4 linked regions of the Caenorhabditis elegans genome follow. The protein of the gene in region 3 interacts with the protein of the main gene of each other region in a pairwise test. Each region holds a gene or a part of one and is shown on either strand. Other genes may lie near its edges.

Region 1 (6,741 bases), on a different chromosome or scaffold from region 3:
GCATAGCACTTGAAGAACGGATCGTCCTTTAATCCTTTAATCCTTTAATAAGTGCATTTAGACAAAATCCCTCACTGGAAGTCTACTCGCGAGCTCAAACGCTTTCCTTGATTGAATGAAATGCTCCAACTCTTGTTGGGCTTCTTACTGTCCACTGTCCAACTTGCTATCTTACGTTTTTTTGTGTAATCATGGGACGTCTCGATGTTAAAAATTCCTGGATTGAGTTCCATCAGGATGTTTGTACATTTGATTTTGTGAAACAAACGTGCAATCCACATTCTCTTTAAAGATATATTTGAAGATCTACGCCAGTTGTCACAGTGTTCTGTATCATCTTTTGAAACATTTATAAACAAGGTAGCTCACATCAGTGAAAACTCTCCGGCACAGTTTTTTTCAATTTTCCACTTTTATTGAAAATGTGATTACATTTTTTGTTACAGGAAATGACAAGTTTTCTCAAGCTTGCCATCATTGGTACTGTGCTTTTGGGAGTGGCTCACGGAGCAAATCTAACTGCTGCCGAGAAAGAAACTTATTGTGAGTTGCGATCTGCCATTCAAACATTCCTTTGTATTGAGGTAAGTGAATTTTTTAACAACTTGAAATTTATCTAGTTCTCAAATTTGGAATTTAGCGTCTTCGCGACTTCGCAGCAAAAGTAGATGAACTCGACATGGATAAGAAAAGTGAACTGAAGGAATTCAAGAAAACTTGCGATTCTCTAAAAAATTGTTTTGCCATTACCCGCTGTGGGCCAAATTCCACAATGGACGAAGCAGAGTTGTTCCGAATGGTCGAAAAAAATTGCGAAGCTGTTGTGTACATCCACGAAGATTTTTCCGATTGTAGTGATAAACTTACTGCGAAAAAATCAGTTTGTTTCGACAACTGGGACCCGATTCCAGATGGAATTCATCTAGAAGAAGACGAAAAGAAGGTTGAGAAAATGAAAAAAGAGACTTGCAAGAGATATTTCGGGAAAGATGACTGCATGAAGAAGGAGATTGTCGAAACGTGTAGCCAAAAAGAATGGGATAAATTTCGTGAGGTAAGTAACAAGTAAAGACTTATTTTTTGGAAAATTCATTCATTTTCAGCAGTTCATCAATCTTTCCTCCGATTTGGTTAGCAAGTGTGACTTCAGCAGACTTGGATAATTATAATTCTGATGACAAAATATTAATGAATTAGTTTTGATGCAGGAACATTTTTTAGCAGCAAAATATGCTTTCAGGATTTTTTTCAGAGAGAACAGGATTTATTGCAAAACCAACTTTGATCGTGAGAAAAAATTATCTAGCGGCCAAAAATGTTGGTGGAAAAATTCCATGCAGGCGCCAAAATGCCTGCGGCGACCTCCGCCTGCCTCGTGCCGTGAGCCGTACCGCGAAAAAACCGCCAATCAAGGTATTTTATAAAATATCCTGCTCACTTTGTGACAGAACAACACTTTGGAAAAAGAAGACATCTTCATGAAAACACCTAGTTTCAGTTTTGTGTCACATGGCATTACAAACCTGCCGGATGTCAGAAGCTGTTACTTTTTCGACAATAGAATTATATAAACTAATGTAATTTTTTTTGTTTTTTTGTTTGGTATGGTGTACTCGACTGCAGGTACTAGTACCAATGGCAAAACTACATAGTTATTTCAATTTTTCGATTTGGAGCAACTCCGAAAGTCTGAAACGATTGAATCGGCGCAGAACGTTCCGAATAGAATAACTTTCTGATCGAAATGGTAAAATTTTATTTATCGAATTAAAATCAGAAAGTAAATCAAAATTATAAAGTTATTCAATCAGTTTTGCTGAAGCCGCATTCGCTCAAAATATTGTTGCCGATTCCCACGAAGTGCTGAAATTTAATAAAAATTGTTTTCTCTAAATTCCCCCGGAATACTTACGTCGCGAAGTTTGGCCCAATCGGATTCACCACATGTTTCAGTAACCACCGTCTTCATACAGTTGTCTTCTCCAAAATAATTCTTGCAAGAATCTTCACGCATTTGTTCTTTTTTCTTCTCATCCTTTTCCAGATTGAACTTTCTCTGGAACGGGTCCCAATCTTTGTAACATTTGTTCTCCGCAAGTTTATCACGGCATTCTTCAAAGTCGTTGGCGATATAGGAAACCCCGCTACAATAGTTTTTGATTTTTTTGACCATTTCCTTTTTCTCCTCTGGTGCGATACCCTTTGGTGTACACTGCGGAGTTTCAAAGCAGGTGGGGATAGTTTCGCAGGACTTTGAAAATTTGACTACTTCCGCCTTATCGTCCAGCTCAAGTTTATCAAGATCATCGAAAAACTCGCCTAAACGCTGAAAAAACACTAAATATTACTAAAAAAAGTATTCATATAAAAACAAACCATGATACAGCCAATCGAATGGAATTCAACAGACAGAGTACAATTGACCATGTTTCCCAAAGGTACTAGGTTAACTTTTACACCTTGAACCAAATCCAGGGACAATATACCAATGGTGACTAGTAAGAGGACGAGCTTCATCTCCTGAAAAAACAAACTACATACATAGAGCCGAGCTTGAAAATAAACGAAAAAATAGACAACATGAGATCCTGTCGACTCGAGCCGGGGAACTATTCTGAACAGAGTAGCAACTGTTCATGTCGAAAGGCGGAAAAAAAGTGTGTAACGTTTGAAGGGATAAAGTTCTAAAAGTTTGTTTCGACAGTTGTTGATGATCTTTTGAGAAACATTCATCGGTTTCTTTAAAAACTGAACCAGGAAGTGAAAATTAAGACTCTATCGTAAGTAGTACTAGGAGGAACGGACCCACCGAGCTCCCAGGACTGCTGGCCAGAGAATCTGGAAAAATCTGAAACTTGCCTGAAAATGAGCAATTTTTTTTCTGCTTCCATGCCGAAATTGGGCTGAGACTTATAGTAATTGTAGTAAGAAAAAACATTTGTTACAAGCTACATAAAAAATGTTCAAAATTTTTTAAACATTTATTTTAGTTTTCTTTCAAAAGCAAAATTATTTACAAACCGCATAGTTTTGCATTTTAATTTCAAATTAAAAACATAAATCGAGTAGCAAAAAAGCTGAACTCCAAGTGGTTTGATCTTGTAATTTCCCCTATAACACCACCTGCTGAAAAAGTTAAAAAAAAAACAATTCAGACAAACTATGATTATATAGCAATTTTGAAATTTTAGAATTTAGAATTCGTTCCAAAAAGGCCCAAACTCCCAGGGGGCAAAAAATGAGGGGGCATCGTGTTCTTAGGGGGCATTTACTCCAAGGGGGCATCACTCATAGGGGGCATTAGGGGTCAATGTTCTTAGGGGGCATTTTCAAAAGTCTCAAAGGGGGCAAAGTTTTAAATGAGTATTTGTTAAGGATACGATTTTTAATGATTTGTCAAAAATGGAATTCGGCCTTAAATACTAATTAAACACTTTGAAATGGAAAAATTATGATGTTTTATTTGTCTTGTTTATTAACAATATTTTGAAAAGTGCATTTTTTCGGTGGGCAACTTGTTATATTTGTATCTTTACAGTCATCCAATATAGACAAAAAGTTTAAACTAATAATTTGCTGATTACTATACAGGGTGACGACTTTTCAGTTGACCACTTTTTCTTATATCACACACGAACGGAGCTATAAGATTTTGGAATGTATTATGTCTACATCCCCGCTCTTGACAATTCCATTAATTTTTCGTGAGAGCACATCCAAAATTGTTTAAAAACTATTTTCTGTAGTATCTAAAACTTTTGAACAACTATCTTGGATGACTGTAAAGATACAAATATAACAAGTTGCCCACCGAAAACATACACTTTTCAAAATATTGTTAATAAACAAGACAAATAAAACATCATAATTTTTCCATTTCAAAGTGTTTAATTAGTATTTAAGGCCGAATTCCATTTTTGACAAATCATTAAAAATCGTATCCTTAACAAATACTCATTTAAAACTTTGCCCCCTTTGAGACTTTTGAAAATGCCCCCTAAGAACATTGACCCCTAATGCCCCCTATGAGTGATGCCCCCTTGGAGTAAATGCCCCCTAAGAACACGATGCCCCCTAATTTTTTGCCCCCTGGGAGTTTGGGCCTTCCAAAAAACCAATCACGCAAACAAATTTTGACTCATGTTTCGATGGATGTTTTTATCAAATTTTAAAAGATGAGGTCACAATACTATATTTCATAGTATTATGGCTTTCTGATTCCCAACTCATTAGCACATCTCTCAGAAAAATTTCTATGTGTGCTTTTTTTTTGTTTTCAGCCAAAACTTTTCTACGAGAACTTTTCATGAATCTCAATTTTTTTTTATTTTAAAATATTTAATTTGGAAAAAAATTTATTTTTAGCAATACTTTATGCATTTCAGGAGCATGCATTTATTTAATGCTAGGGCTCCAAAAAAATTTTCCAAATATTTCAGATGACACCATATCAGGAACAATGCAAAATAATGGAATCCCTGTCTTCGTCCATATTCCTCCGATTCACTATAACATTTCAACTTGCATCTAGTCTTTTGGCTTTAACAATGGTTATTGTAGCGAGTTATAGTTTATGGACTGCGCAAGTTGCAAGATTATTCCACGTCAATGTAATAATTATATTTCAAGTTCATTGGTTCGGATTTTTTTTGCATTGCTCGAACAGGTTATAATTTTTGTGATGTTACTATAACTCAACAATTAAAATTCGTAAAACGAATGGTTTAATAATTTTAATAATTTTAGTTTTTTTGGAACTGAAAAAATTCCACAACATTTAAACACTTAATATAAACCTATTAAAAAAGGTATTTCTAATATTACTAGTTTTTGGCAATTCAAATTCCTGGCGGTTCAACAATCCGGCAACCAACAAAAACTAAAATTATCGAAAAAATTTTAAAATTTTCAGGTTTTTACGAGTTGAGAAAGAAAAAATTTACTACAGTAAAAATAGTTTATTACTGCTTTTTGAGTATTTTATTCGAAATTTGTGTTCTCGATAATTGCCAAATTTTTTGACACTCCAAAAGACACGCAAGTGGTCTAAATATGCAATGCATTCCAATTCTGATTCCAGAATAGTGCTTCACACCATTGACCTTCACAACTACCTGATCCTTGACTACTGTGACATGCCTGCAAGCACAACTCGATGTTTTGTGCTCCGCGTTCAATATGTATTTGGCCTATGTTTAGTTGGAGCAACTACAATTCCACTGGTAATTGAAAGATATATTGCAACAATTAAATCGTCAAAATATGAACAAACTGGGTGTGCGTTGGGGATTTATATGGCTATTAAGCAGGTAAACCCAGTTCTTCGAAAATTTTAAAACTTTTTTGAAAAATTTAAGTTTTCAATTGCAACTATGACAACTTATTATGCATTCTTAATATTTCCATTCAAGGAACCTTTTATGCCCTACTGCACAGCTATCAAGCAGGGATTTGTTACTAACGTCGAAGTGATTTTCCATATTATCCTCCTTGCTCAAATAGTTGGAAGAGTTATTTTTCAGTACTTGTTTAACTTGAATGAGGTATGTAGGTGTTCACTAAAAAGGTATAAGCTGTATACTCTAATTTTAGAGGCTCCGGGCAAAACAAATCACATGTTCATTGTCAAATCGATATTCTTTGGAGCAAAACCTAAAGTCTATGAGAACATTGAAACTATTTGCAAATTTACAAACTGGATTTCAAGTTATCCATATTATGTTTTTTCTATTCTTATTGAAATTTGGCGCAGAACTTGAATCTTCTACTTACTTGGCTCTACTTGAATGTGAGTCATAAAATATACGGTGTTATGATGTTTCATGACAATGTATGTATCTGATTTCCTAATTATAGTTGTGTAAGCACACAGTTTTTGTAAAACATCAAATATCTGAAGAAAAAAACATTTCAATTTTGATGAAACAGTAAAACTGAAAAATATAAAGTTTTGGGAAAACAATAATTTTCAGGGAGTGGCTCCTACCCCTTATATGCCATTATTTCAATTGTGGCATTGTTGAAGAAGGCTCAAGTAAACAAAGTTCGGCTGAAAAAGGAGCTGGAAGTCCATATGAGTGCAGACCAGAATAATTATTTTGAGAATTTTAATAAGTCTTGGAATTAAATTTTTTCACAATTTTTGTTATTTAATACGCCAACCCTAACATGTTATTGAAAATTTGAATGAATTGATTTTTTACAAGGAAATATAGTCTTAGCTTGTTTAGTCATGTCAACGTTGTTAAAAATTTTATTAGCATTCTATGAGGTCTATGTGAAAAACAAAGTCACGAAAACAAGAGAATATGGTGATTTATAATGGAAGAAATGATTTTCAATATGCATTTTCATATAATATTTTAAAGACTTTTTATCAATGAATTTTTAAAAAATTAATTTTTTGAAACATGTAAATTGAAACAAATAAAATTTAACTTACTTCACGGTTAAATTATATGACATTTATTGACGTTTTTAGCTTTTCGTGCATTTTTTTTCAAAATTTCAGGTAGGGTTTAGTTTAAATGCTCAAACTATTCCAAAAAATAATCAGGAACATTTTGAAATTTTGAAGAATTTTGTAGCTTTCAGAATTTTGTTTGAAAGTGTGATAACACATTTTGAACTGTGCATTAGCTAAAATTTCTTGGTAAGAATTTAATTTGAAAGGTGGAAAATGACATTTTGGAAAATTAAAACATTTTGGGAGGAACAAAACCCATAAGTACCAATTTTCAA
Region 2 (8,340 bases), 8.4 Mb from region 3:
GACGGTTCTCTTTTCAATTCCGAGTATTCTAGAGTTTTTAAGCGGTCTTATTATTGGTTTTGTTTACATTATTTTTACTGTCCAGTCAGTCAAATTTGGCAAAACTGTGAAACTGAAAAAAAAAATTATTACAACTTTTTTTAAATCAATAACGAGATTATACTCTTCGAACTATAAAACATATGGAACCTTAAAGGTGGAGTGCCGAAATTTTAGACCCAGAATAGCTCAAAACTACCAAAATTCGTAATGAGACGTTCTAAAAATGTTTCAAAAAATAAGTTATGGCTGCTCAAAGTTTTTGGAAAAATGGATCTATTTTTAGCTAAAATCTCAAATTTTGGCAATTTTTCAGTGTCACAGCAGTTGAAACTTTATTTTTTTAAAGCATGTCTTCGCAAATGATTACATGTTTTTTCGCTGATTGTTTTTTTGATGGTTTTCATAAAACTTACTTATGTAAGTGAAAGTATTTAATGTCAAACTTTAAACAGAAAAGTATTGAATAAGGTGAAGCAAAAAGTTTTCAAACTTTAAATGAAACTTGCCCAAAAAAAAATCAAATTCTATGTGCATTGTAATATGTCTTTAATTTTTAGAAACATAGTGCAACGAAAATTAAAATTTTACTATCTCAAAAAGTATCGAAATTTTAAATTTTCCATTTAAAACAACTTTTATTTGCAACATTCTCTCAACCATTAAATTCTTTTTTTTCATGTTTCAATTCAATAAAGAATTCATCTAACAATAATGGGGTTATTCAAGTAATGTTGCAAAATGTATTTAAATACATTTGTGACGTCACAAATGTATTTAAATACATGTTTTTGTATACTTGAATACAGTTGTGACGTAATTGTTCTACACTTTTTAATTTTCCGACATTACTTGAATAACCCCATAATGCAATAGTGTTAGTACTAAACAATAACGTGCCATAAATTTGGTAAAACTGTGAAACGGAAAATAAATATTGATTTATGATTAATTGTTTTTTTTTGCTGTTTCACTTAGTCTCAAAATATTCTGGGAACCTAAAGTGTCAATAATTGGTCGAGATAAACTTTTTTCAAACAAAAAATCGATTGTAAACAACGCTTTTGTTAAAATTAGTTATGTAATAAATTAGCCAATTTTTATATGCACTTTCTGAAACTGCAATAATTTTAATGTTTTACGTTTCACTTGAGACGTTTCACTTTCACAGTGTTTTTAAATAATCATTGCTAACAGGAATATCATTGGAACTAAATGTTGTTTTTTTGAGAACATAGTGAAACAGTTGTCAGTAAATTTAAGAATGTTACTTTTACCCCAAAGTCTCTACTTTTTAGCGTGTCAGTAGGCTTTTAAGTAAAATGAATTTTTGTATTTTTGGTAAAGTAGATTCATTAAAATATAATAAAACTGTAAAGCTTCAAATTATCAGTTAAACTTTACTTTTTGAAAATCAAAACAACTCGGGCAAGTGAAACAATTTTTTTTCTGTTTCTCATTTTTTACATAATTTCAGATCACAATTTTAATTCAATGGTGATCGTGTAAATTCTTGGATTTGAAGTTCATTTTTGTAACTACTTTTTTTTGTCGATAAGATTGTTTCAGACTACTAATCTGTTCAGATTTGATTGTAGTTATGGCTTTAGTCTGATTGTAGTCTGAAGCCGCATAAATTTCAGCAGGAATATATAAAAGTCTCGTGAAACACAATGTGAAGAAATCAATGGTGCAGTGTAATTGAAAATAATAAATTAGTTGATACAATAAATGAAACTATATTTTTTAATTGATATCAGATTTTTGACTTTTTGCCAAGTAAAACTAATAAAGTGGTACACATTAACTAGTTGAAGCTAGATGAAGCATTATTGATTAAAACTGATTATGTTGTCAAATTATCAAATTTGGTTCAGCTGTGTGAAAAAGGAACATAATATTTATGAAAATTTCTCTGGCGCACTTATTTAAAAAATTTAAAAATCAATATCGTGTAAAAATACGTTGACATTATTTCATTGTACACCTTTACACTTAAACCAACATTGTGAAAAAGTACTTGAAGTATTTTTGAATTTGACGAACTCTTTATATGCAAAAATGGCGCATTTACTATATGTTCAAACTTTTTTTCCAACTATAAAAGTGAAAAGAGCTATAAAAAATGCTAAAGTACTTAAGGGCACTGAAATCTTTTTAAAGTTGGAGTTGAACATCATCTGAGCCGATGATCTCTGAGATCAATAAATTTAATTCATGTTGATGCTAACAGTTCCAATAAATGAACACCATGAAACAATTTTTATAGATTTTGTGCTCAAATTTGAAGTGAGCAACAGTTTTCTGCGCAGTAAAATTTTCACTGTTGACCCAAAACTATTTTTTAAACAGTTATTATTGATTCTTTTTAATTTATATTTAAGTAATATGCGACTCTACAAATTGTGGCTGGAAATATAGTAGAAAATCTCGAACAGAGCCAAAAATTGCACGGGACTGCAATTTCACAACAAAAACTTTTTACTATGGGACTAACATTTCATTTTAATTTTAGCTCATGTTTCACAACACATTGAAACAGTAAAAATTTGAAATTTTCAAATTATTGAAACCTTGAGAACTATGAGAGGAGCGCTGGAAAAACTTTTATATAGACAGCTGAAATGTTTTTTTTTCAGAATTGAAATACATAAGTTAATAGAAAAGTCAACAAAATATAACAATTTCAAAAACAAATTATTCCATTTCCACTTCCTCTTCGTCATTGAAAATTTCTGATTTTATACTTCCTTCTGGGTTTTCTTCGTTTACCTGATAGTTACACATCATTTCTGAGCCATTTGGGAAAATTAGTCGGGATCTGAAAAAAATTATCGATTTTTATAAAACTCAATGAAATCACAAACTCTTTGAGCTCTCCATCCTCCTTGCGGAGTTGCTCTCGGAGCCATCTTGTGGCATCTTCACTTGCTTCGTTTCCATACATTTTGTTGTGGCGGCCTCTCACACGGTCTCTGAAAAATAAATTTAGTACTGAGCCCTGAGACAGTAAAACTCACAACTTATTGCCCATAACGTCGGTGACCAGCTTCCTCACTCGAAACTTCAGGTCTCGCGATTGTTCTTCGCCGAACCCACCGAGTATGTACTCTGGAAGAGGAACATGGTTTTTTTAATATTAAATTTCCTACTGTTTCAAAGAATTTATAAATTTTTGGTGAAACGTGTGGAAAACTAACCAGCAAACCCTTCGAAAAAGTCCCTAGCGATGGGAATATATGTAGAAGCGTTTTGTGAAGTTGCGTAGCACATCATATGGGGGTCCGCAATGGCAACCTTAAATTTTTGGAGTTTACGCAAGATTCTATAAAGTCTACGCAAGACTCCACTAAGCATACCTTATCGAAAACCGTTCTCGCCAGAGCTCTCACAAGAGTCACCAAGTTAGCCGTCGACCAATTCGACACATCTCCATCCGTCACAACATCGGAAATCATGAACCATTTCCTGCTGGGCAACGTCAAAGCTCTGTCAAACTTCTCGGCTGAGTCAATTGAGAATGCCTTGTTCGTTGTGATCGGTTCCGTGATTTTCTCCGCTTTTCGAGAAATCTTCCTGTGCTGCTTGTTTGCCTGAAAGCGAATTTTTTTTAATTTTCGAAACTTTTGGAAATTGCTCACCATCGCCGTAGTGAAAGCCATTCCAAGTGCCATTTCCTCCATCAAATTCTGATTTTGTGTTCGACACCGCTTGGCGAAATTGAGCCATTCGTAGTAGTCAACATCACGGTCATTTTTGATGAGTTTCTCCAGGTTTTTCTGAAAAATTTGAAGATTTATTTGGCAGGGCTAAGGTCTTGACTACAATGATGTACTGTAAGCAACTGACATCTTACGAGTTAGACTGCAAATTCCGTGGTGGGCCCGTAAAATGTCGGCTGCTAGCAACAGCAGTTTTAAAAGAGTCCACGGGTAATATTTTGTTCCTATAAACAAGCCGACATTTCACGAGTCTCAACATTCAATATTGTTCTAACTGGGCCATTGTGGTGTCGGCTGCTATCAAATTTCAAGCACTTGGATTTCAGCTCCCGACACTTTGCGAGTTTCTTTAACAATACTGTAAAGCACCGACTTCTGCTTCCGTTCGTTCGTTTTAATGTCGGCTGCTAGCAAAAGCAGTTTTAGAGGAGTTCGCGGTGAGATTTTGTTTCTACAAGCAAACCGACATTTCACAAGTCTCGCCATGCAAACTCGTTATTCTAACTAGGCCCGTGCAATGTTGGCTGCTATCAGATTTCAATCGTCTGAACTTCAGCGCCCGACACTATACGAGTTGCTCTAGAAATAATCCCCTCAAAACCTACCTCACAAGTCTTCCGATCCAATGGTTCCCCTTTCGCATAATCGTACAATTCGGAAGCAGCGAATCCAATCGGCAACCACATCCCATGCTTAGAGGCCTGAAGAAGGGGTGCCGAAGATGTTTGAGCAATTGGAGATGAGCTGTACTCTATCGGAAGGGTCTTACGACGAACCATCCCATCTCCATCCAACCAATCACGACAGAACTGCTTGGTGGATCCTTCAGACGTATTGGTCCATTCGACAGTGATACGGTCATTTGTGGTATCTACTTGTCCGAATGCAAAAGCATCGCAGGAAATTGTTAGAAGAATCTCCTCACTTGGATCGAGTACTCCACAATTTGGAGTGCACATCGTATCAACTCTGAGTCTTTTCATATATGTATTGATTCCATAAGCAATACGAAGAGCCGAAGTATTGATTAATTTGATTTTAGATTCTTGGTTTTCATTGTACGGAGCATTGAAGATGATTTTGCTCGGTTGGAAGTCAATTTCTCCTGGTGGAAGGGATTGAGCCATCACGGGGGAAAATTCTCGGGGTCTTTTAGGCTCAAAATCCTGGTAAACCTTATGTTCGACTGGAGCAACTAGAAGATCTTCCGGTTTTTGTTCGCATAGGAGTGGATACGGAGCAGGTCTTTTTGAAGCTCGGCGGGACATCTGAAAATTGAATTTTTTTTAGATTTTGAGCGTTCAAATAAAATTCAAAAAATCAATAGTGATAATCGACGTGGTGTCAGGTACACACATTCGGTTTGATCTACGAAAAATGCGGGAATATTTATTCATAAAAATTGTGACGTAAGCACGCTCTAAACCATGCAAAATCAGATGATATGTCTGCGTCGCTGCTCCCACATTTTTTGAAGGTCAAAGCAAAATGGGACTTTCTGACTAGCACTCGTTTTTTTTAAATTAAAAAAAAGATTTGAATTAAAAAACCGCGAATTTTCAAAATTAGTGAATAACAATATAAAATTCACGAGAAACAAGAAACAACACAAAATAAAAACCGATAAAATCGAAAACGTCACCGCACGGGAAGCATTGTTTGCGCGCAATGCCTCCCGCCGCGAGTTGAGAGACCGAATTAGTGTGAGAGACGCAGGTGGTGGTAAGAGAAATGACGAGAGACGCAGAGAAAAGGAACGTTTCAGGACAACGGACGTTGGTTTACGAGAGGGGGGTTTGGAGCGTTTTTAGTGTTTATTGATTGGTTTTGATTAGAATTTTGAATTTTTCGAGCGTTTGCCCCACAACAAAGAGATGGCAAATATTAAAAAAAAACTGTTAACTGTTAGAGAAAACATCTACTGTTTAAACAACTAAGCATAAAAGAAAAATTAAAATAAAAAATTAATTAATTGAAAATACTGTTTCAAGTTTGTATTTAATATTGATGTAACTTTTTTAAAATGCTGGGGAAAATAAAAATAATTTCACTTTTTCAACTGCAAATCATAGCTCCAAGAACAACTTGACATATTATTGGACTGATAATCTGTTGTTTCGGGAACATTTGTTAACGTTTATTTTTTCAAAGATAATTCCCTATAAATGATTTTTAATGAAAGAAAAACGCGGAAATCCTATAATTTGTTTTGCATTTCGAGAATTGAAATTACAGTTTCAAGTAGACTTAAAATTACTAGATAAATTTGATCATTCAATAATGCTTTTAAGTTTGTCGAAATTTCGAAGAAAAAAAATTTGTGAAACTGCTTAAATTTTCAGAAATTAATATTATAAAACTGACTAGTTTCATTATTGTTCGTGTATTGGAAATATTTGAAAATTAGCTTTTACTGCACTGATTTATATCTCATATAGGTGAGTGAAACTCGGTAGATGTCGGGCGCTCATATTTCGTTAGCGTTAGGCGTTCTTGAGAAACCCCACAAGTAATGTGGAATAATGTGTTGATTATCGGGTTTTTTTTTCACTGTTAAAACGACTGGAAAGGTCGAAGGATCTATCTACTAAAAATAGTTACTCAAGTTTTTCTTTTGAAAACCAGTTGAAACATCTCTGACAAAATTCAGATTTCTTTTCTCAAAAAAGTGATTTGAAATTTATAAAATAATTGATATTTCTAGAACACATTAAACAACTTTATGAAACTGTTTTTGGTGTAAAATCATTTTAAATGAAGGAAAAACGGAAAAATCATATAATTTTTTACGTTTCGAGAATTGAAATTACTGTTTCAAGTAAGAAATAAGATTTCAAGAAAAGTTTACTTATTCAATAGTAATTTAATGATATGACAGTAATTTAATTCAATGAAAAAAATTGAACCATTTTCCTTCAAAAATTATCAAACTTTTCCACAGTTTTCGAACTTAAACTACTGCGAAGCCTAGCGCGCTTGACGCGCTAATCTACCGTTCTAACTTTATAAAATTCATAATCAGTAAAATTTATGAAATAATCAAAATTTTAAAGAATAAGTATTTTAAAATGTTATATTAGATACCTTATCTGCTATTCAAAAGAATGAATTGAAATATAAATAAAACGCTCCCAAATATTTTAAATGCCATCTGCATTTCGATCAATCTAGCAACAGTTTAGGAAGTTGTTTTTTATTCATGAGCGTTCAAAAAAAAATTGCGGTTTTAGAAAGTGGACAAACGGGTATTTTCATATACATATTGATGATTGAACGAAAATGATATTTTTGTAATTTTAATTTGATAGCTTTCTAAAAATGGGAATTTAAAAAAACAAATGAAAAAAAAATAATTTGATGAAAAACAAATCCATGAACAAATTAAAAAATTAATTGCTACCAAAACACACTGAAACTTTAAATTTATCTTCTATTTTTCCTTAAAAATTTTTTAATTTCACAATTAGACGGCAAGAATAAGTATTTTTTTTTAAAGACCATTTTATAATGAGACCGCCTACTTTATGCCGCGAAATTGTCTGTAACATTGCTTTTTTTTGGAAGAAATAACACCAACTTATTGCTCTAAATTTACAAAATTCTAGCCGACTTTACAACAATAAACAAGACATAGAATACAACTAAAAATCCTAGCCCACACTTAACCACAATGTGAAACACGTATTGATTTCAACCATGAACGTCATTAGTTAATTTTCAATTAGAAATTGATTCTTCCATGCATTATGTGAGAATAAACAGGAACATTTCAGAAATATACTCTGAATTGTTTCATTTTGTCATTTTAATTCATTTTCAGTAGGATTTTATTCAATAAAAACATATTTTGTTTCACGTAACTAATATAAAAACAATGAGCAGCAATATGCGTAGCTAGTGATTGAGTAGTAATGCAAGCTGGAAATGAAAATTGAACATTACTATTAAAGTTTTAAAAAAACTCTAGATTTTATCATTTGATTGTCTAAATATATTTTTAAAAAACTAGCTTTTACTGCACTGATTTGTATCTTATAAAAGTGAGTGAAACCCGGTAGATGTCGGGTGCTCATTTAAAGGCAGGAGTTAGGTCTTCTCGAGCAACGTACACAAATAATGTGTTCTCGAAATTGGTGTGTATAAATTCAAAATTAAAAAAAAATATAAGTACTTACCTAAAACGTGAAAAAATTATTTTAAAACCCGTTTCACAAAGTAGGTTTATTTAAATTGTTAAATTGTTTTAGAAACCAATAGTAGGACACTGATTTTTTCATTATACTTTTTCAAAATATTTCCATGGAATGAAAACCCCGACAATTTATGATTTATCTGAATTATCGATGACTTCAAAGATTTTTCTCACTTTCTTGTTTTTCTGTTTCAGATTTTTGTTAAGTTATACAAATTGTATGGTTGAGTGTTTTAGTTTTTTTTCGAATTAAACTAATTTTATTTAGTAAACTATTTATAAAATATATAAAACATTGTAAATACTGTTATAACAACTTTTATCAGATTTTTATTCAAAATGAGATGGCAATTTCAAAAAAAAAAAACATTTCCACTTTCAACGTTT
Region 3 (8,655 bases):
TTACAGCGATACCCTCTTCCTTCCCTCGTCGGTTGCTTTATTGGAGCAGTTATTGGTATTTTTATTGCCATTACCCGGATTTTTGTCATCAAGCGGACCGCTTACAATAAGACTAAAAAACGCTAAACAATGGTTCAGCGTCAAAAAACTCTTGCGACATTCGGAGCAGGACCTTTTGCAACAGGTGATTCAAGTGGTGGTCGATTCGGTCATTATACATTTGATGATGCCCCACAACTTCTCGGAATTCTGTTGGCAGAATTTCATAACACTTTAGGTGCAATCATCAAACATTCTGTTCCGAAAGAAAATAATAAAGTTGAGGCAACTTTTCACTTCACAAAAGGTATGTTATATTAATCCAAATAATAAAATGAATTTATGTTTCAGGCTTGATCATTCCAAAACCATCCATGTTCCGTAACTCATTTTCACTGACCATCAAATCTCTTCGCTGCAAAGTTCTCATGTTTCCCGTTGGAATAGATCACAAAAGCTACGAACGTGGTCGTTTCACTTTCGATATGGCTTTCATCGTTGACATGACATCATCTGCAGAAACAATGTATGAGCCAATTGTACAGAAATGCGCGGAATATTTGATTGAATTGGAGATGGAATACAAATTTCTCACAAATCCAAAATACAAGGATCAGGTTCTTGATGTAATGGAGAGAATGTTCAATGATCTGTCGAATAAAGGTAAACTTTGTATTTTTCTATGAATAACAAGATTTTAAATTTAGGCGAAAGTGTGATTGAAGTCAGTCTTGAAGATGAAAAGATTGTGACATTATATTTCAAATTATGCCCATTGTATCGTGGATGTGAACCTCCAGAAATCGATTATCATATGGTTCCAATGTTCATAAGAGAAGTGACGCTTACCGATCATCTCATAGAAAAAATGGATGTTCTGTCACAGAAGATTATTCCTCAAATTGATGGAATCAATACAGTTCGAGAGATTGCTATTATTCTCGAACTTGATCCATCCCTCGTCGCCAGATGTGTTCGTAATTTACACTTCTACGAATGTGTCAGTCTTGTTCCAATGTTTCTCTACTATAATACATATGTGGCAACTGAAAGAGTTCACGACTTTTACAAAAATCAAACGGAAATCAATGACTGCCTTGAGTTTGTGAAAATTCAAACGGAAATCGGTGCAGACGGCTCAGAAATTCCAACGCGAACTCCAGAATTTTCGGATGTGTTCCGACTTTATTTGAGCATGAAAGTGGTGGGACCTAAACTTCCGATCGACGAATCTGATAGCAATCGACTACGTTTTCAGTGCGGCAACAATCTAGCAGAATGGGCCGATCTGGAGAAACCAAGATCGATGGGTATTGATGAACAGCGACTTGTACAATTTGGAATGCATCATCAGTTTCTTCGTAAACTTTCTAAATATCCTATTTGTGTTGCAAACCCAGGCAACAACACGTAAGTTAATCAATTAATACTATCTAATAATATACAATTTTAAGTCTCCTGAAACGGTGTAATGGAAAAACTTCAATTGACGAACTTTCTCTTCAACATAATGTGGACCCCGAACAACTTTGCTCACTGTTGGAAGAAACCGGAAAATTTGAGTTTGTCATGAAATAAATGAAAATCGTGTATTATTGTTTCGTTTTACAACAACTTTTAACAAATAAATTTGATTTATTTATTATGAGAGCACACACCAGGTAAAGGGAATATTGGCCAGTCAGTCGAGACAATCGAGAATAGCAAAACGGGAGAAAGGAAAATGGGATGAGGAAGATGAGAGGGAAAATGAGAAAAGAAGATGGATGATGAGAAGAGGGACGGCTCGATATACCTTTAAAAAGGCCTTACGGGATGGGTGGGGTTTCAAGAAAAAGAATACTGGAGTCCACGAGAACTAAGAGGAGCAGGGTGATTGGAATTTTTGGCCTATCAACGAGATTCTCCGAGAACTAATGAAATCGAGAATGATGATGGATGACTAGGAAATGAGCAAACTAGGGGGATCAGAAGTTCTAAGAAATTGAAATTATGTATATGATAAAGAATTAATAAAAGTAACATGTGAAGAAAATGAAAATACTCGCTTTTAGAGAGAAAATCTGGGGACCGTGGGGATTGGAGGGACTGGGAAAAATGATGAGAGATTTGAAAACGACGCGGTAACAATGATAAAAGGATGAGGGTGGGGGACGCGGGCAATGAACGGGCGCGAATGGGAAACAAAAATGAAAACAAAACTCAACAAAAATGCACAACTCACACACTCACTTTAAAAAGAAATCGAAATATATTATCATAAAACAGTCACTCTCGCACACACGAAGAAGAGGGCGGGGACATTGTAACTAATTAATCACAATGGAAAAAAGATGGTGGATGAAAAAGTGAAATGTTAATCAAATCACTGATGGTACAGAAACAACGAAGAGATAAAGAAAGGATGAGATAATTGACAATCGATTGTAGAAGAACGTGCAAACTCAATTGGTCAAAAAGTGCAAAATCTCACATGAAAGAGAGCTTGCATTTCCGAGAAGCTGGCTTAGGAACTCGCGTGTCAGATGAAAATACACGAGAACCTAACAAAAAGTGAGGTGTGAAAAATAGTAAGACGAAAACTACATGAACATTTGTATGGGAACGGCATGCGAAATTGTTTACGAGAAATAAGACAAAACGTATTTTGTGATTAAAGGAATCATGGAGATCTACTTTCCAAAGTTCCATCCTCCGTTTGGAGCATCAGGAACTGGTGGAACGTCGCCTCCAAAAGCAGAACTTTGAGCTCCTTCCACGTTGCCAGTCTCATCATCGGAACTGAAAATATAAAAACGTATACACCAAACATTCGCACACGGACTCTGAAGATTTTTATCAAATATAATTGGACTCCTACCTGAAGAAGTTATCGATAATTTCGAAAGCCAGTTTGTAAATGTCCTCGTTTTCATGATTTTGAAGATTTTCTATCTTGTCAAGACCTCCGCACTCTTCAATCTCTGATGTCACCTGTTCGGCAGCTTCTCCAGCCATTTTCAGAATGTTGTTAATTCCATCAAGCACTACTTGGATAATCTGCGAATCAGTGCAACTGAGCATCGCACAGAAAGGACGAAGGACACCAAGCTTTACCATTTGCTCAACTTGATTTGGACGGCCAGAGATTGTAACGTTGGAAATAGCCCACGCTGCCTCTTTTTGAGTTGGGAAATCTCCTCGATCAAGAAGATGAATAATCATTGGCATGATTCCGGCGTCGAATACGTCTTGAACTTGTTGTTGGTTTCCAGCAGTTATGTTGGAGACAAACCAAACAGCCTCTTTGTTTATTTTCTCTTTGTAGTGGGCGAGAAGTCCTGGCATAAACCGAAGAACCTGAAATTTAAGATTTGGAAAAGTCATAAATGAAAATTTTTACTCCGCTATCCAACACAAGTTGTGTTTGTTCGTCGGTTCCAGTCACAATATTTCCTACAGCTCGAAGTGCTGCTGTTTGAACTTTAACATCAACGTGTCCAAGGAGTGGAACGAGATGGGTAACAACTTGAGCTTCGATAACCATTTGAATGTGTTCATTTCCACCGTCGGTGAGGTAAGAAAGGGCCCAAACGGTGTCTATGAGGATGTTGGTGTCTTGGTGATGGATCAAAAGTGAGAGGGCGGGAAGAATCGTACGAACCACAGCTGGGCTTGGTGCCGGATCTTTGCACCTGCAGAGATTGACAATAACCCATGTGACATTTCTCAAGAAGCCAATAGGTATCTCCGGGTTAATGAACTGCAATAGTGGCTGGAGAATTCCGAGTTCGAGACAATAATCACGGAAATGTGGTCCATCTCCAATGATGTTACCAAGAGCCCAGACAGATTGCTCGCAAACGTTCAGATTTCCACATGACAGGAGTTGCAGGAAGAGAGGAACGGCTCCGGCATTCACGACGGCTTGTGTTTGCTCTGATGTACCAGATGCTATGTTGGTAAGGGCCCATGCAGCTTCAAATTGCAAGTTTGGACTGAAAATTTACAGTAATTTGATGCGACCTTATGAAAATTCTTACTCCGTGCTGGACAAGCATTGAACGAGGACAGGCAAAATCCCACTGCCAATCAAGTCATCAATTGGTGGATTTCTATCAGTTGATAGCATTTTACGGGCTTGTTGAACAGCAGTCAGCTGCTCAGCGGGATCGCTCGATTGGGCAGCAGCGACTGTCAACCGGAGGAGGTTGGCATCAAATGGACCTGGTGGGGTTGTTGAAGTCTCAGAATCATCTCTGAAAATTAAAACAATTCAAAAACTGGAACAGATAATTTACTGTGATAAGCGTATGAAACACTTTTGTTAGCTCTCATAGCTGAAGCATATAAAATCAGATGAAAAACTCACTCAATTTGGGTATTGATATTACGCCGTTTGGAAATTGCCTCCTCTCGTTTATCCTTTCTGATCGAAACCACCTTAAAATTGAATAATGTATGCGTTAACAAGTTTATCGAACTTACTTCTTCGTTCCTTTTTTCCTTGCCAATTTGCTCTTTGGCATTGTTCTTATAATAAGCCTGTCTGTTTGAACTCATTCTGCTGAAAGAAAAAAACTTGATAAATGAATAGTAGCGCAAGTAAAAAGCAACAAAAAACGTTTAAAAACTGCGGAACTTTCTATCAGAGATTTCGCAACACAAAAAGTATCTAAGATTACAGCTTAATTATTTAAAATAAGAAAAGAGCGATATTGAGAAACTTTAACAGAAATTTTTAAATAAAATCCAATGAATTACATGTAAGATGGAAAGATTTCAGTAGGATTGGGGAAAAATTATAGTCGATAACGAGACAAAATATGTCGCAGAAGCGTCGCGGTTGACACGCAACGCACACAATAGAGCGTATTGGCAGATAAGAGGTCTCACTCGTAGATTTTAAAACTAGGGAAAAGAAGCTCCGGAGTTTTTGGATGGATCTTCTTTAAAAAAAGGAAAACGTGTAAATGTTAAAGATATTAAGAACAAAAAACAATGTCTGATTAAAATGTCAAACTTCGCTTCAAATGGTTTCAAAATATGGCAATTTTAAATACATTTGGGTACCAAGCTCTTTTAACAAAAAATTTTAAATAATAAATTTATTTACTCAACATTCTTTACAATATTAATAACAGCGGATTTTATAAAAATTATAAAGCAATAAATTTTGTGATTGCATCCTACTCGTCGCCGCTCTCATCCTGCACCACCTGAAAAATAATGATATTTATGGTTACATTTGCATTTGCATTTGCATCAAATGCATTTGATATAATACTTTTGAACAAAAAACCAGGAGTATTTTCTAGTCCGAAAAACTTACATTAGCCGTCTTTTCCCGCAATTTCTTGTTGTGTTCCTGGATCCAGGAGAACACCTGATCTGCTTCGGTCAGTGTCGATCCTGTTACAGTTTTCGCAAAGATCTATTGAAAAACTTAAGAAAAGATACACTCCCCAACGCTGCTGGCATGCCGTGTTCACAGAAAAGTTTGGAACTTTTGAAACTTTTCAGACTAATCAGTAGGTTGACCCAGTTGACCCATTGGTCTATGTTCTCTTCGCCGGCCCATGGAAGATTGTCCTTTGCAACTTGAATTGCAGCCTGAAATGGTTCAATTTGAATCACTATTGCGAAGAATATAGTTATAATATAATTCGTTTAACATTTTTCAGTGTTTTACAGGCTTACCTTTAAACCAAACTTGGAATCGTAGGTCTCCATGTAGTTGATAAATTTTATCAACTCATCTCCGCTGACGTCAGTATTTTTGGTGATAAAATCACGGGTAAGCTTTTCAGCCTCAGCACCGCGATTTGCGTTCTCTTCTACAATGACTCGTCCGGTTATTATAGCTCTGAAAGTAAGTCAGTTTCAAAAAAATTGATTAAAAAATGTTGTCTTACTGGCAGTTCGGAAATTTTGCTGCAGCTGATTCAAAAATTTTTCGGGAGCTTTTCAGATTCCCTCTACTCTTAATTTCAGCCATGATTGCGACCTTGCATTTGATTTTGTCCGATTCCAATCCCATCACAAGCAAGGATGTCAATTCCCGTGTTCCGTTTGTCCCGTTGTCCCGTTTTTGGGGTGTTTTCACGGGAACGGGAATTCCCGTTGTCCCGTTTTTAAAATTTTCACGGGAACGGGAATTCCCGCTGTCCCGTTTTTGTCATTTTCACGGGAACGGGATGTCCCGTTGTCCCGTTTTTTGGGTGTTTTCGCGGAAACGGGAATTCCCGTTGTCCCGTTTTAAAAATTTTCACGGGAACGGGAATTCCCGTTGTCCCGTTTTTGTAATTTTTAGGGGACACTGACACCTTTGATCACAAGCAACTTTACTCGGGAAGCGATGGATCCTTCCAGTCTAGATGCATTGATGACTAGCTCTTCACTTGGTGCATGGGCTAAGCCTCCATGTAAAGCTGTGGTCTCGAGGCCCCACCAAAACAGAATGCAGTTCAAAACAGGATTTACCAAAAAATGATGCAGTGGGCGGAGCCAATTGACAACTACTATCAAAATTTATGAATCGATCCTTGGATTTTGCAAAAATTAATTTCTTGTTGATTTTTCAAATAAAGTTTCGATTTTACTTGTATTTTTCTCTTTTTTCGAATTGGATAACATTTTCATTCGAAAAAAAAAGAAAAATCGAAACTTTATTTAAAAAATCAACAAGAAAGCAGTTAAAAAGGGCCGTGGGCAAACCCCACGCGGCAGTGTTGCGAAAGGACGCTTCGCCCAACTTTCTGCACGACAAAAGTTTTTGCAAAATCCAAGGATCGATTCATAAATTTTGATAGTGCCGTATGCTTGTTTCGCAAGCCTCGCACGTTTTTTCTTTTGAAAAAATGCAACAAAATCAAGGAAAAAACGTGCGAGGCTTGCGAAATAAGCGTGCGGTGATTGCGAATTCGCTCCGCCCACTCCATCCATGTTTATATGCATCCTGTTTTGGTAAATCCTGATTTTTACTTCATCAGAAAGAACACATTCTCTTTCCTATTTTCAGGGATAGTGGAAGACAAAAAAAACAATATGGATTTAAAATCAGGGCTTCGCCCCGATTTTAATAAAATATATGAAACCCTCTTAAAAAGTTACAAGAAGGCTTTTCCTTGCGCTTGGAGCGCAATAGAAAAGAAAAAGAGCTATTTAGACTTAGGGTGCCCAACTGGAATAAAACATTGGAAATCCCAATCCAACCAGCCTAAGGGCCCGAAAAACATACTAGGATGCCCAACTTGAATAAAATATAGAAAATCCTTATGACACACTTAAGCCTAAAGGCCCGAAAAACATACTAGGATGCCCAACTGGAATAAAATATTGGAAATCCTTATGACACACCGGCGGTATGGCGCGGCTTAAGCCTAAATAGCCACTTTTATCAAAATACATTTGAGCTCGCTTTGCGTTTTACAATAACTTCTCAGACTCAAAAGTAATCTGTGTATATTTTTCAGTAATCTAAATGAAAACTATAGATTACTGAGAAACTTGGAGATTAGATTTCGTAATATTTGGAGGGAAGCGAGCAACCTTTGGGGATATTTTTTCTTAGTAAAGTTATAGAATGCCATTATTCAAATTCCTATCTCATGGGAAGAAAAGTTCAAATTCTGTACCATCAGCTCGCCTTGCGTTTTACAATAACTTCTCAGGCAACTCAAAAGTAATCTGTGGATATTTTTCAATAATCTAAATGAAGATTATTTCTAAAAAACTTGGAAATTTTGTAATATTTGAAGGGATGCGAGCAATCTCTACATATTTGCGAGCAACCTTTGGAGATTTTTTAAAAGTAAAGTTATAGAATGCCAATATTCAAATTCCTATCTCATGGGAAGAAAAGTTCAAATTCTGTACCTGCGTATATTTTTTTATAACTCCGTTCTTCCCACAAGAAAGGCCTTCTTCCCATGAGACAGGAATTCAAATATCGGCAGCATTCATAGGTACAGAATTCGAACCTTTCTTTACATGAGATAGGAATTTTATATCAACCAAATTAACCCTCCAGTAAAGTGGGACCTTTGATGAATATAATCACTCTGATGATATCTAATTCCGATGATTAATCCATTTTTCTTTCTCTCACACTTATGAACTAAAATGATTACTAAATTAAGGCGTGATATTCTAAGGTGTGATAACATATGATATTTATTTTTAAGTTTAAATAAAGTTTTTTTTTATTTTTGCTAAAGAACGAATAGTTTACAACCGCCTCGCTCAAATGTATTTTGATAAAAGTGGCTATTTAGGCTTAAGCCGCGCCATACCGCCGGTGTGTCATAAGGATTTCCAATATTTTATTCCAGTTGGGCATCCTAGTATGTTTTTCGGGCCTTTAGGCTTAAGTGTGTCATAAGGATTTCCTATATTTTATTCAAGTTGGGCATCCTAGTATGTTTTTCGGGCCCTTAGGCTGGTTGGATTGGGATTTCCAATGTTTTATTCCAGTTGGGCACCCTAAGTCTAAATAGCTCTTTTTCTTTTCTATTGCGCTCCAAGCGCAAGGAAAAACCTTCTTGTAACTTTTTAAGAGGGTTTCATATATTTTATTAAAATCGGGGCGAAGCCCTGATTTTAAATCCATATTGTTTTTTTTGTCTTCCACTATCC
Region 4 (8,720 bases), on a different chromosome or scaffold from region 3:
GCTTGGCGGAACGTTGAGAGGAAGAGTATATGAGAATGGCCACACGTAATCTCCAGCAGACAATTCATTCTGAAAATTTATACAATTTCAAATTTAAATGTTTTCAGATTCCTACCGATCCATCTTTGCAAGCCCACAGAAGCAGAGCCTGATCCAGGTAGTGCACATTCGATGAGTAATGAACCGATTCTGAATCGTACCTCACATTGCCGTCATTGTCACTGAAAATGTATGCTTATCAAAAAATTTTATTATTTGTTATTTGAATTATTTATTATGAATGTTTTTTTTTTTTTTTTTAATTTTACTTTTTTTTCAAATTTTCATCAAATTAATATTTTTACGGAACATTATAACTCCTTACAGATCATTCTTTAAAAAATATTGATTGTTGCATCGACAATTTTAGGTCCCCCCCCTTTTTCTGACTTAATTTAGGCACAATTTTACAGTTTTAATAAATATTTAATTATTCGAAAAAAATTTTTTTTTTAATTTTCTTTAAAAATAATATTTTTTGAACAGAAAATTGAAATTCTTTACACTCTGCGAACACTGTCGTAGTCCGTCCAACTAGTGTGAGCCAATCCCAAAATTTTGATATTCACCGCCCGAGCCTTGTATTTTTCCTCCGTCGTTGAGAGCACCACTCGGCCGGAAATCGGTTGTCCCGGGAAGAAAACTTCGTTAGGTTGGTCGAATATCACATGAAGCTCAGTTTCTGGCATGATAACCCTGGAAATTGGGAAAAAAATCGTTAAAAAATTCAAAAAACCGGAAGAAAATCGGTGGAGAGAACACTGAAAATGGAGAATATTGGGAAATTTAAACGAATTTTAATGTTTCATATTTCATAAGAAAAATAGAACAAATAAATGTTGGAAGAGAGAACAAGTGATCAATTAAGATGTTGACATCTTACTGGGTATTTTCATTTACAGGTGTGTGTTAAATAATCAAACCTGATAACAATATTTACTCACAGAGAACAAGAACAAAAACAGATTTTGGTTGTTTAAATAGCGACCGATTCCTCAGAGAATTTTAAAATTGTTGTTAGCAATGATGTTTATATCCGAATGACTAATAACGCACAAAAGAAAAAATATAAATGTTCAGTCAAAATCAGCAAGGTTTTTTTGTCGAGCAATTTGCCGATTTGCCGGGAATTTTCAATTCCGGAAATTTGTCAATTTTCCAGAAATTTCAATTCTGGCAATTTATCAATTTTCCAGAAATTTTCAATTCCGGCAATTAGCCGATTTGCTGGAAATTTCAATTCCGGCAATTTGCCGCTTGCCGGATATTGTCAATTCCGGCAGTTTTCCGATTTGCCAGAAATTATCAATTCCGGCAATTTGTCAATTCCGGCAATTTGTCGATATGCCAGAAATTTTCAATTCCGGCAATTTGTTGATTTTCCAGAAATTTTCAATTCCGGCAATTTGCCGATTTTCCAGAAATTTTCAATTCCGGCAAATTGTCGATATGCCAGAAATTTTCAATTCCGGCAATTTGCCGCTTGCCGGATATTGTCAATTCCGGCAATTTACCCATTTTCCAGAAATTTTCAATTCCGGCAATTTACCCATTTTCCAGAAATTTTCAATTCCGGCAATTTGCCGATTCGCCGGAAATTTCAATTCCGGCAATTTGCCGCTTGCCGGATATTGTCAATTCCGGCAGTTTTCCGATTTGCCAGAAATTATCAATTCCGGCAATTTGTTGATTTTCCAGAAATTTTCAATTCCGGCAATTTGTTAATTTTCCAGAAATTTTCAATTCCGGCAATTTGTTGATTTTCCAGAAATTTTCAATTCCGGCAAATTGTCGATATGCCAGAAATTTTCAATCCCGGCAATTTGTTGATTTTCCAGAAATTTTCAATTCCGGCAATTTACCCATTTTCCAGAAATTTTCAATTCCGGCAATTTACCCATTTTCCAGAAATTTTCAATTCCGGCAATTTGCCGATTCGCCGGAAATTTCAATTCCGGCAATTTGCCGCTTGCCGGATATTGTCAATTCCGGCAGTTTTCCGATTTGCCAGAAATTATCAATTCCGGCAATTTGTCAATTCCGGCAATTTGTTGATTTTCCAGAAATTTTCAATTCCGGCAATTTGTTAATTTTCCAGAAATTTTCAATTCCGGCAATTTGTTGATTTTCCAGAAATTTTCAATTCCGGCAATTTGTTAATTTTCCAAAAATTTTCAATTCCGGCAATTTGTTGATTTTTCAGAAATTTTCAATTCCGGCAATTTGTTAATTTTCCAGAAATTTTCAATTCCGGCAATTTGTTGATTTTCCAGAAATTTTCAATTCCGGCAAATTGTCGATATGCCAGAAATTTTCAATTCCGGCAATTTGTTGATTTTCCAGAAATTTTCAATTCCGGCAATTTACCCATTTTCCAGAAATTTTCAATTCCGGCAATTTACCCATTTTCCAGAAATTTTCAATTCCGGCAATTTGCCGATTCGCCGGAAATTTCAATTCCGGCAATTTGCCGCTTGCCGGATATTGTCAATTCCGGCAGTTTTCCGATTTGCCAGAAATTATCAATTCCGGCAATTTGTTAATTTTCCAGAAATTTTCAATTCCGGCAATTTGTTGATTTTCCAGAAATTTTCAATTCCGGCAATTTGTTAATTTTCCAAAAATTTTCAATTCCGGCAATTTGTTGATTTTCCAGAAATTTTCAATTCCGGCAATTTGTTAATTTTCCAGAAATTTTCAATTCCGGCAATTTGTTGATTTTCCAGAAATTTTCAATTCCGGCAAATTGTCGATATGCCAGAAATTTTCAATTCCGGCAATTTGCCGATTTTCCAGAAATTTTCAATTCCGGCAATTTGCCGATTCGCCGGAAATTTCAATTCCGGCAATTAGTCATTTTTTGCTCAATGTCAAGTATTCGATTGAAGTTTAATAATTTATGCATTAAAATAAAACAAAAACACATCCAACCAGGCAAAAAAACATTTTAAAAGCAATGATAATTTTGAACAATATTCGGCAAAGCAGGGCAGAGTCCGATGAAAATCCTTCATTCTTCGGATTATTCCGGTGGTGGCGCTGTCGGATTATAAACTGGCAAATTGTTGAAAACCGGGTATTTTGGAGCAAATGGTTGCTCATTTTCATCAGTGTTGAGCTCGGTTCCATCTTGTCCAAACATTGATTCTTCGTAGGATAGTGGTGGAGCTGGAAAAATTTGCAATTTTAGAGAATTGTGCTGGACTTCTGAGTAACTCACCACTTGGAATCACTACAGTACCATCATCTTTGCTAGGATATGGGACATTCGGAATAGGATACATTGGCATGCTGGCAGCTGGATATGATGCATCACCAGCTCCCTTCTCCGAGCCATCTGCCATCGGCAAGAATCCATACCCTGGTGGTGGAGCAACAACCCCTCCTCCAATCGGAGTTGGCAGGATCTGTGGAAGATTCGGATCCTGTGGATAGTAGGCTGGTGGAAGGAACTGCCGAATAGGCACTGTTCCAATCAGGATCCCCATTTCACAATCAACATCACTCCCGAATGTTGAGCTGGTCTCCACGTGGAATTGCACAATGTACTCTACAGTAATCACCGGTGAGAACTGATTGATGGTTGGAGTTACAGACGGAAGACGGAGCTCCATCGCAAATTTGTGCTCATTCCTGGGAGCCACTGTCATTTCCTGGCCATGCTTGACGACGGTCTTCGTGTCGTGTTTGGTTTCCTGAAGCTGTCCGGACATTCCAGTCTCATAGCCTCCGCCATAATGGAAGGTGGTACCGTTTCGATATGCAATGAACTTGCACTGCTGAATAATTTTCGCCTTGACTTCGGTGACGGGAACGGAGGAGTGATTTAGAATATGGATGTTCATGGGAACAGTCTCGCCGGGTACGAATCCAGTTTTCGGGATGTTTACACGAAGTTCGAGATATCCTTTTTTGAAGCAGCAACAGCCAAGGTTCTCGCTAGCCTGGTCGTTGATTTGGGTGAGTGCATGGGGGATCACATTGAGGTCGATCAGTGGGGAAACTGAAAATGTTTGAATTTTTGGCTTAGGCTTAGGCTTAGAATGTTAGTCTTAGACTTAGACCGTTAGGCTTAGGCTTAGGCGTAAGCTTCGGCTTAGGCCTAGGCTTATGCTTTGGCTTAGGCTTAGGCTTAGACAGTGGTCTAGATTTAGGCTTAGGCCTATGCTTAGGCTTAGGATCAAGGGTGTTCGTTTTTCGATTTTTTTGAAAATCGAAAAATGTTTAAAAAATTATCGTTTTTCTGATTTTGCGAAAATTTTTTAGATTTTCCAAAATATTAGCACAATATTTTGGCCATTATTCTTATTTTTAGAATTAATTTTGATGTTTTTTTCTCATCAATATAAGCAAAATTAGATTTTAAAAAAAATCATATTTTATGGTTAATTTTCTTAACATTCTTTTCGATTTTTCAATTTTCACTGAAAAAACATCGAAAAATCGAAAAATGCCACTCCTGCTTAGGATTAGTCTTAGACTTAGGCTTATGTTTAGATTGTTAGGTTTAGGCTTAGGCTTCAGCTGCGTAGGCTCAGGCTTAGGTTCAGGCTTAGATTGTCAGGCTTAGGCTTAAAACTGTAGCCCTTACCAGTGATGCATCGCTTCTTTGCCTTATCCAATCTCCATGGCCGATCCACTTCAGCTGTCACCGAGTATCTCAAATATCCATATTTTCCCTCAAAGCTTGGCGGAACGTTGAGAGGAAGATTATAAGAAAATGACCAGGCGTATTCTCCAGCTGCTAACTCGTTCTGACAAATATTCAGATATCTAATAATTGTAATTTTCAACCATTCTTCATTTTGAGCTACCGAAAATTTCAGCAAATCGGAAAATTGCCGGTTTGTTGACTTTGCCGGAAATTTGAAAAAACGGCATATTGCCGACTTAGCCGGAAATTTAAAAAAAAAACAGCAATTTGCAGAAAATTTGGAAAACGGCAATTGCCGAATATGCCGGAAATTTGAAAAAACGGCAATTTGTTGACTTTGCCGGAAATTCGAACAACGACAATTTGCCGACTTTGCCGGAAATTTAAAAAAAAAACAGCAATTTGCCGAAAATTTGGAAAACGGCAATTGCCGAACTTGATGTAAATATGAAAAAACGACAATATGCCGAATTAGCCGGAAACTTGAAAAACGGCAATATGCCATCTTTGCCGGAAATTTGGAAAGCGGCAGATTGTCAATTTGCCGGTTTGCCGATTTTGCCGGTTTGCCTATCTATCCCTGATTCAAAATACCCTACCGATCCATCTTTGCAAGCCCACAGAAGCAATGTATAATCCAGGTAGTTCACATTCGCAGAGTAGTGCACAGATTGCCGGTGGTGGCTCACTTTTCCGTCGGCGTCACTGGAAAATTCGAATTTTATAATTTTTTAGTGTTATTCGAAAATTCGGAAATATTTATTGATTATTCAATTTTCCATTTTAAAAAATTTGAAAAATAGCTTTTTCGTCAAAAAAAAAATGAAATTTTCTACAGAAATCTTAAATTTCTTACACTCTGCGAACACTCTCATAATCCGTCCAACTGGTGTGAGCCAATCCCAAAATTTTGATATTCACCGCCCGAGCCTTGTATTTTTCCTTCGTCGTTGAGAGCACCACTCGGCCGGAAATCGGTTGTCCCGGGAAGAAAACTTCGTTAGGCTGGTCGAATATCACGTGAAGCTCCGTTTCTGGCATGATAACCCTGGAACTTAGACAAAAATCGTTAAAAAATCGTTAAAAAATTCAAAAAACCGGAAGAAAATCGGTGGAGAGAACACTGAAAATTTAAAAAAAAACGAATTTTTGATTTTTAATATTTTATTTTAAAAAAATAGAAAAAAATTATGCATTTTAATTGAAAAGGAAAGGAAAAAAACAATTTAATTTAATTCAAAAAAAAGGAGCGAAATAAATTTTGCAGAAATTGTCATAAAATGTGGTGTTTGCGTACTTGAGAAGGAGTGTGCGCCTTTAAAGAGTACTGTAGTTTCAAAATTTCTTTTTTAATTGATTTTAGTTTTCAATAACTAATAAACACATTTTCGATAAAAAAAATGTATTAATTTATGGAAAACATGAATATAGCAAAAAAAACTCTCAAATATAAAAATAAAACTATGAAAAATCCATAGAAATTTGAAATCGCTGCAGCAACAAAAGTTTGAAATTACAGTACGCTTTAAAGGCGAACGCCTTTTCCTTTCTATCAAGAATTTGTCGTGTTGAGACCGGTGTTTGGTATTTGTGGCTCAAAAATCGCGAAATCTCGTGTCTGGGTAATAGAATAAATTTTAAAAGTTCAAATTAAAAAAAAATTAATAACTGATTCTAATTTCTTAAACGATTTTTTACTAGATTTTTTTTTACAATTTCATGAAAATTACGGAATAGCCGCTCGAAACAAAGCAAACAGACACATGCAGTATTGAAGGTCAAAAAAATCGCACTCCGCAAGAGCCGCAGAGAAATAAAGGGAACAGCGAGGATAAAAGAACGGGGCAAAGACCAACGTTTTTCCATTAAACTTGTGAAAAAGAAACGTTGCTCACAAACAGGAAGAATTGATAAGCTAAACGGAAGAAGACATAGGAGAAGCATTACTGATTAAATAGGAAATAGTGATAAAATTTCTGACATTCGGGAAAGTTAATTTGTAAGGTCAAACAACGGAGAAAAATATGCTAGAAATGGCCGAACCCGGGGTGGGCGGCAAACGATTTTTCCGGCAAATCGGCAAATTGCCGGAATTGAAAAAAAAATCCGGCAAATAGGGGAACCGGCAAACTGCCGATTTGCCGAAATTTTAGGAAAATCGGCAAATTGTCGGAATTGAAATTTCCGGCAAATCGGGAAATTGCCGGAATTGAAAAAAAAAATCCGGCAAATAGGGGAACCGGCAAACTGCCGATTTGCCGAAATTTTAGGAAAATCGGCAAATTGTCGGAATTAATAATTTCCGGCAAATCGGCAAATTGCCGGTATTTGAATTTTCGGCTAAGCGGCACATTGCCGGAATTAAAAATATCCGTCAAATTGGCTAATTGCCATAATTGAAATTTCCGGCAAATCAGGAAATCGGCAAATTGCAAATTTTGAAAAAAAAAAGGAAAAATTGAAAATATCCGGCAAATCGGGGAACCGGCGAATTGACGATTTGCCGAAATTTTAGGAAAATCGGCAACTTGCCAAAAATGAAAAATCCCGGCAAATCGGCACATTGCCGGAATTTAAAATTTGTCGGAAAAACGACAATTTGTCGGAATTGAAATTTCCGGCAAATGGGCAAATTGGCAAAAAAGGTCAAACAATGGAGAAAAATAGCTTTAAAACATGCTAAAAATAAAAAAAATTCATTAATTTCATCGTCCGTTTTTATAGGACCAGTTTTTTTTTAAATAGAATTTCAAAACCCAGCCTATTATATATTTGTTAGGAATAAATGCAAAATCGGGGTGACTAACACACACTACTCAGAAAAATATTTCCTCAGACAAAACTGTTAAGTAAAAAAAAAACTAAAGAACTAAAAAAAAAAAAAAAAAAAACTAAACTCTAGCCTAAATCCCTGAAACCTCAATTCCTATTGTTAATTTCTTGTTAGTTACACTATTTTAGAAGGTATTGAACAAAAAATGTGTGTGTGTGTGTGTGTGTGTGGTTTGATGCCGGCAGAGGACGCACGAACCCTTGATAAATGGACGGAAAGAGTGCTGAGAAACAGAGAAAACGGAAAGAGACGTCGAAAAAAAGGGAAAAAAGAACGAAAATGAGAAACCCATTTTGTTGGAGGGTATTCTGAGAACAGCCTAGTGCAATTAAATTGCTAGAAGATACTTTTTTATAGATGTCAAACAAATGCTTTTATTAAAAATGAATTCCATCAAAAGAAACAAACGGAATAGCAGCATGTGATAACAATGGTATTTTATAAGCTCAGGGAAGACAGAAGACCTCAATGCCCATAATACGGCACTTGATAGGTGAACACCGGCTTCATATCGACCGTCCAGCTCTGCGCATCTTCTCCATCGACGAATTTGCGTGGGGGTACTGGAAAATAGAGTTTGTTTATATTTGAGTGCTCATGTTTCAGTGATTTTGACCGGAAAATTAGTTTATTTATTGCCAAAAATTGTCAGCAGAGGTGCATATAGGTTTTTTTCCGGAAAATTTCTGGCAATCGGAGAATCGGCAAATTGCCATAATTGAGATTTCCGGCAAATCAGCAAATTGCCGGAATTGAAAATTTCTGGCAATTGGCCGGAATTGAAAATTTCCGGCAAATTGTCGGAATTGAAAATTTCCGGAAAATCGGCAAGTTGCCGGAATTGAGCATTTTTGGCAAATTGGCAAACCGACAAATTGCAGGTGTTGAATATTTCTGGCAAATTGCCGGAATTGAAAATTTCCGTCAAACCGGCACATTGCCGGAATTGAAAATTTTTGGAAACCCGGCACTTTGCAGGAATTTAAATTTTCTGGCAAATCGGAAAAGCGCCACTTTGCAGGAATTTAAAATTTCTGGCAAATTACCGGAATTGAAAATTTCCGGCAAACCGGCAAATTGCCGGAATTGAAAATTTCTGGCAAATCGGCAAAGTGCCAGAATTAAAATTTCCGGTTAATAGGCAAATAGGTCAAATGCCGGAATTGAAAATTACCGGCAAACTGCCGGAAGTGA

What was found.
Region 1: the proteins of ima-3 (region 3) and exh-1 interact in a two-hybrid assay, tested with the Caenorhabditis elegans proteins (one large-scale study listed by BioGRID).
Region 2: the proteins of ima-3 (region 3) and Y105C5B.19 interact in a two-hybrid assay, tested with the Caenorhabditis elegans proteins (one large-scale study listed by BioGRID).
Region 4: the proteins of ima-3 (region 3) and arrd-13 interact in a two-hybrid assay, tested with the Caenorhabditis elegans proteins (one large-scale study listed by BioGRID).

What each region holds. Positions count from the first base shown.
Region 1 is NC_003283.11:3,152,871-3,159,611, reverse strand, and holds exh-1 (T20D4.11-like domain-containing protein), read right to left. Parts: upstream 2,527-6,741; 5' UTR 2,518-2,526; coding exon 2,377-2,517; intron 2,327-2,376; coding exon 1,913-2,326; intron 1,864-1,912; coding exon 1,804-1,863; 3' UTR 1,741-1,803; downstream 1-1,740. Other genes in the region: UPF0376 protein C36C5.12, read left to right, coding at 450-584, 641-1,054, 1,104-1,163; srab-7 (Serpentine Receptor, class AB (Class A-like)), read left to right, coding at 4,440-4,666, 5,081-5,309, 5,358-5,543, 5,593-5,788, 5,973-6,127.
Region 2 is NC_003282.8:15,978,942-15,987,281, forward strand, and holds Y105C5B.19 (Major sperm protein), read right to left. Parts: upstream 5,030-8,340; coding exon 4,367-5,029; intron 3,819-4,366; coding exon 3,681-3,818; intron 3,633-3,680; coding exon 3,399-3,632; intron 3,337-3,398; coding exon 3,240-3,336; exon of another isoform or gene 3,236-3,239; intron 3,151-3,235; coding exon 3,060-3,150; intron 3,015-3,059; coding exon 2,907-3,014; intron 2,861-2,906; coding exon 2,737-2,860; 3' UTR 2,634-2,736; downstream 1-2,633.
Region 3 is NC_003282.8:7,557,080-7,565,734, forward strand, and holds ima-3 (Importin subunit alpha-3), read right to left. Parts: upstream 4,586-8,655; 5' UTR 4,582-4,585; coding exon 4,507-4,581; intron 4,462-4,506; coding exon 4,391-4,461; intron 4,278-4,390; coding exon 4,062-4,277; intron 4,017-4,061; coding exon 3,422-4,016; intron 3,379-3,421; coding exon 2,900-3,378; intron 2,821-2,899; coding exon 2,712-2,820; 3' UTR 1,662-2,711; downstream 1-1,661. Other genes in the region: F49E8.8 (Phosphatidylinositol-glycan biosynthesis class F protein), read left to right, coding at 7-126; nprl-2 (Nitrogen permease regulator 2), read left to right, coding at 130-346, 391-702, 747-1,449, 1,494-1,617; F32E10.9 (TPR_REGION domain-containing protein), read right to left, coding at 5,434-5,631, 5,719-5,884, 5,934-6,058. UniProt on the Caenorhabditis elegans protein: Binds specifically and directly to substrates containing either a simple or bipartite NLS motif. Promotes docking of import substrates to the nuclear envelope. Seems to act as a cytosolic receptor for both simple and bipartite NLS motifs.
Region 4 is NC_003280.10:13,755,435-13,764,154, reverse strand, and holds arrd-13 (Arrestin C-terminal-like domain-containing protein), read right to left. Parts: upstream 5,748-8,720; 5' UTR 5,735-5,747; coding exon 5,550-5,734; intron 5,399-5,549; coding exon 5,293-5,398; intron 4,794-5,292; coding exon 4,631-4,793; intron 4,043-4,630; coding exon 3,260-4,042; intron 3,208-3,259; coding exon 3,062-3,207; 3' UTR 2,920-3,061; downstream 1-2,919. Other genes in the region: arrd-11 (Arrestin C-terminal-like domain-containing protein), read right to left, coding at 1-69, 116-221, 544-728; arrd-14 (Arrestin C-terminal-like domain-containing protein), read right to left, coding at 7,992-8,089.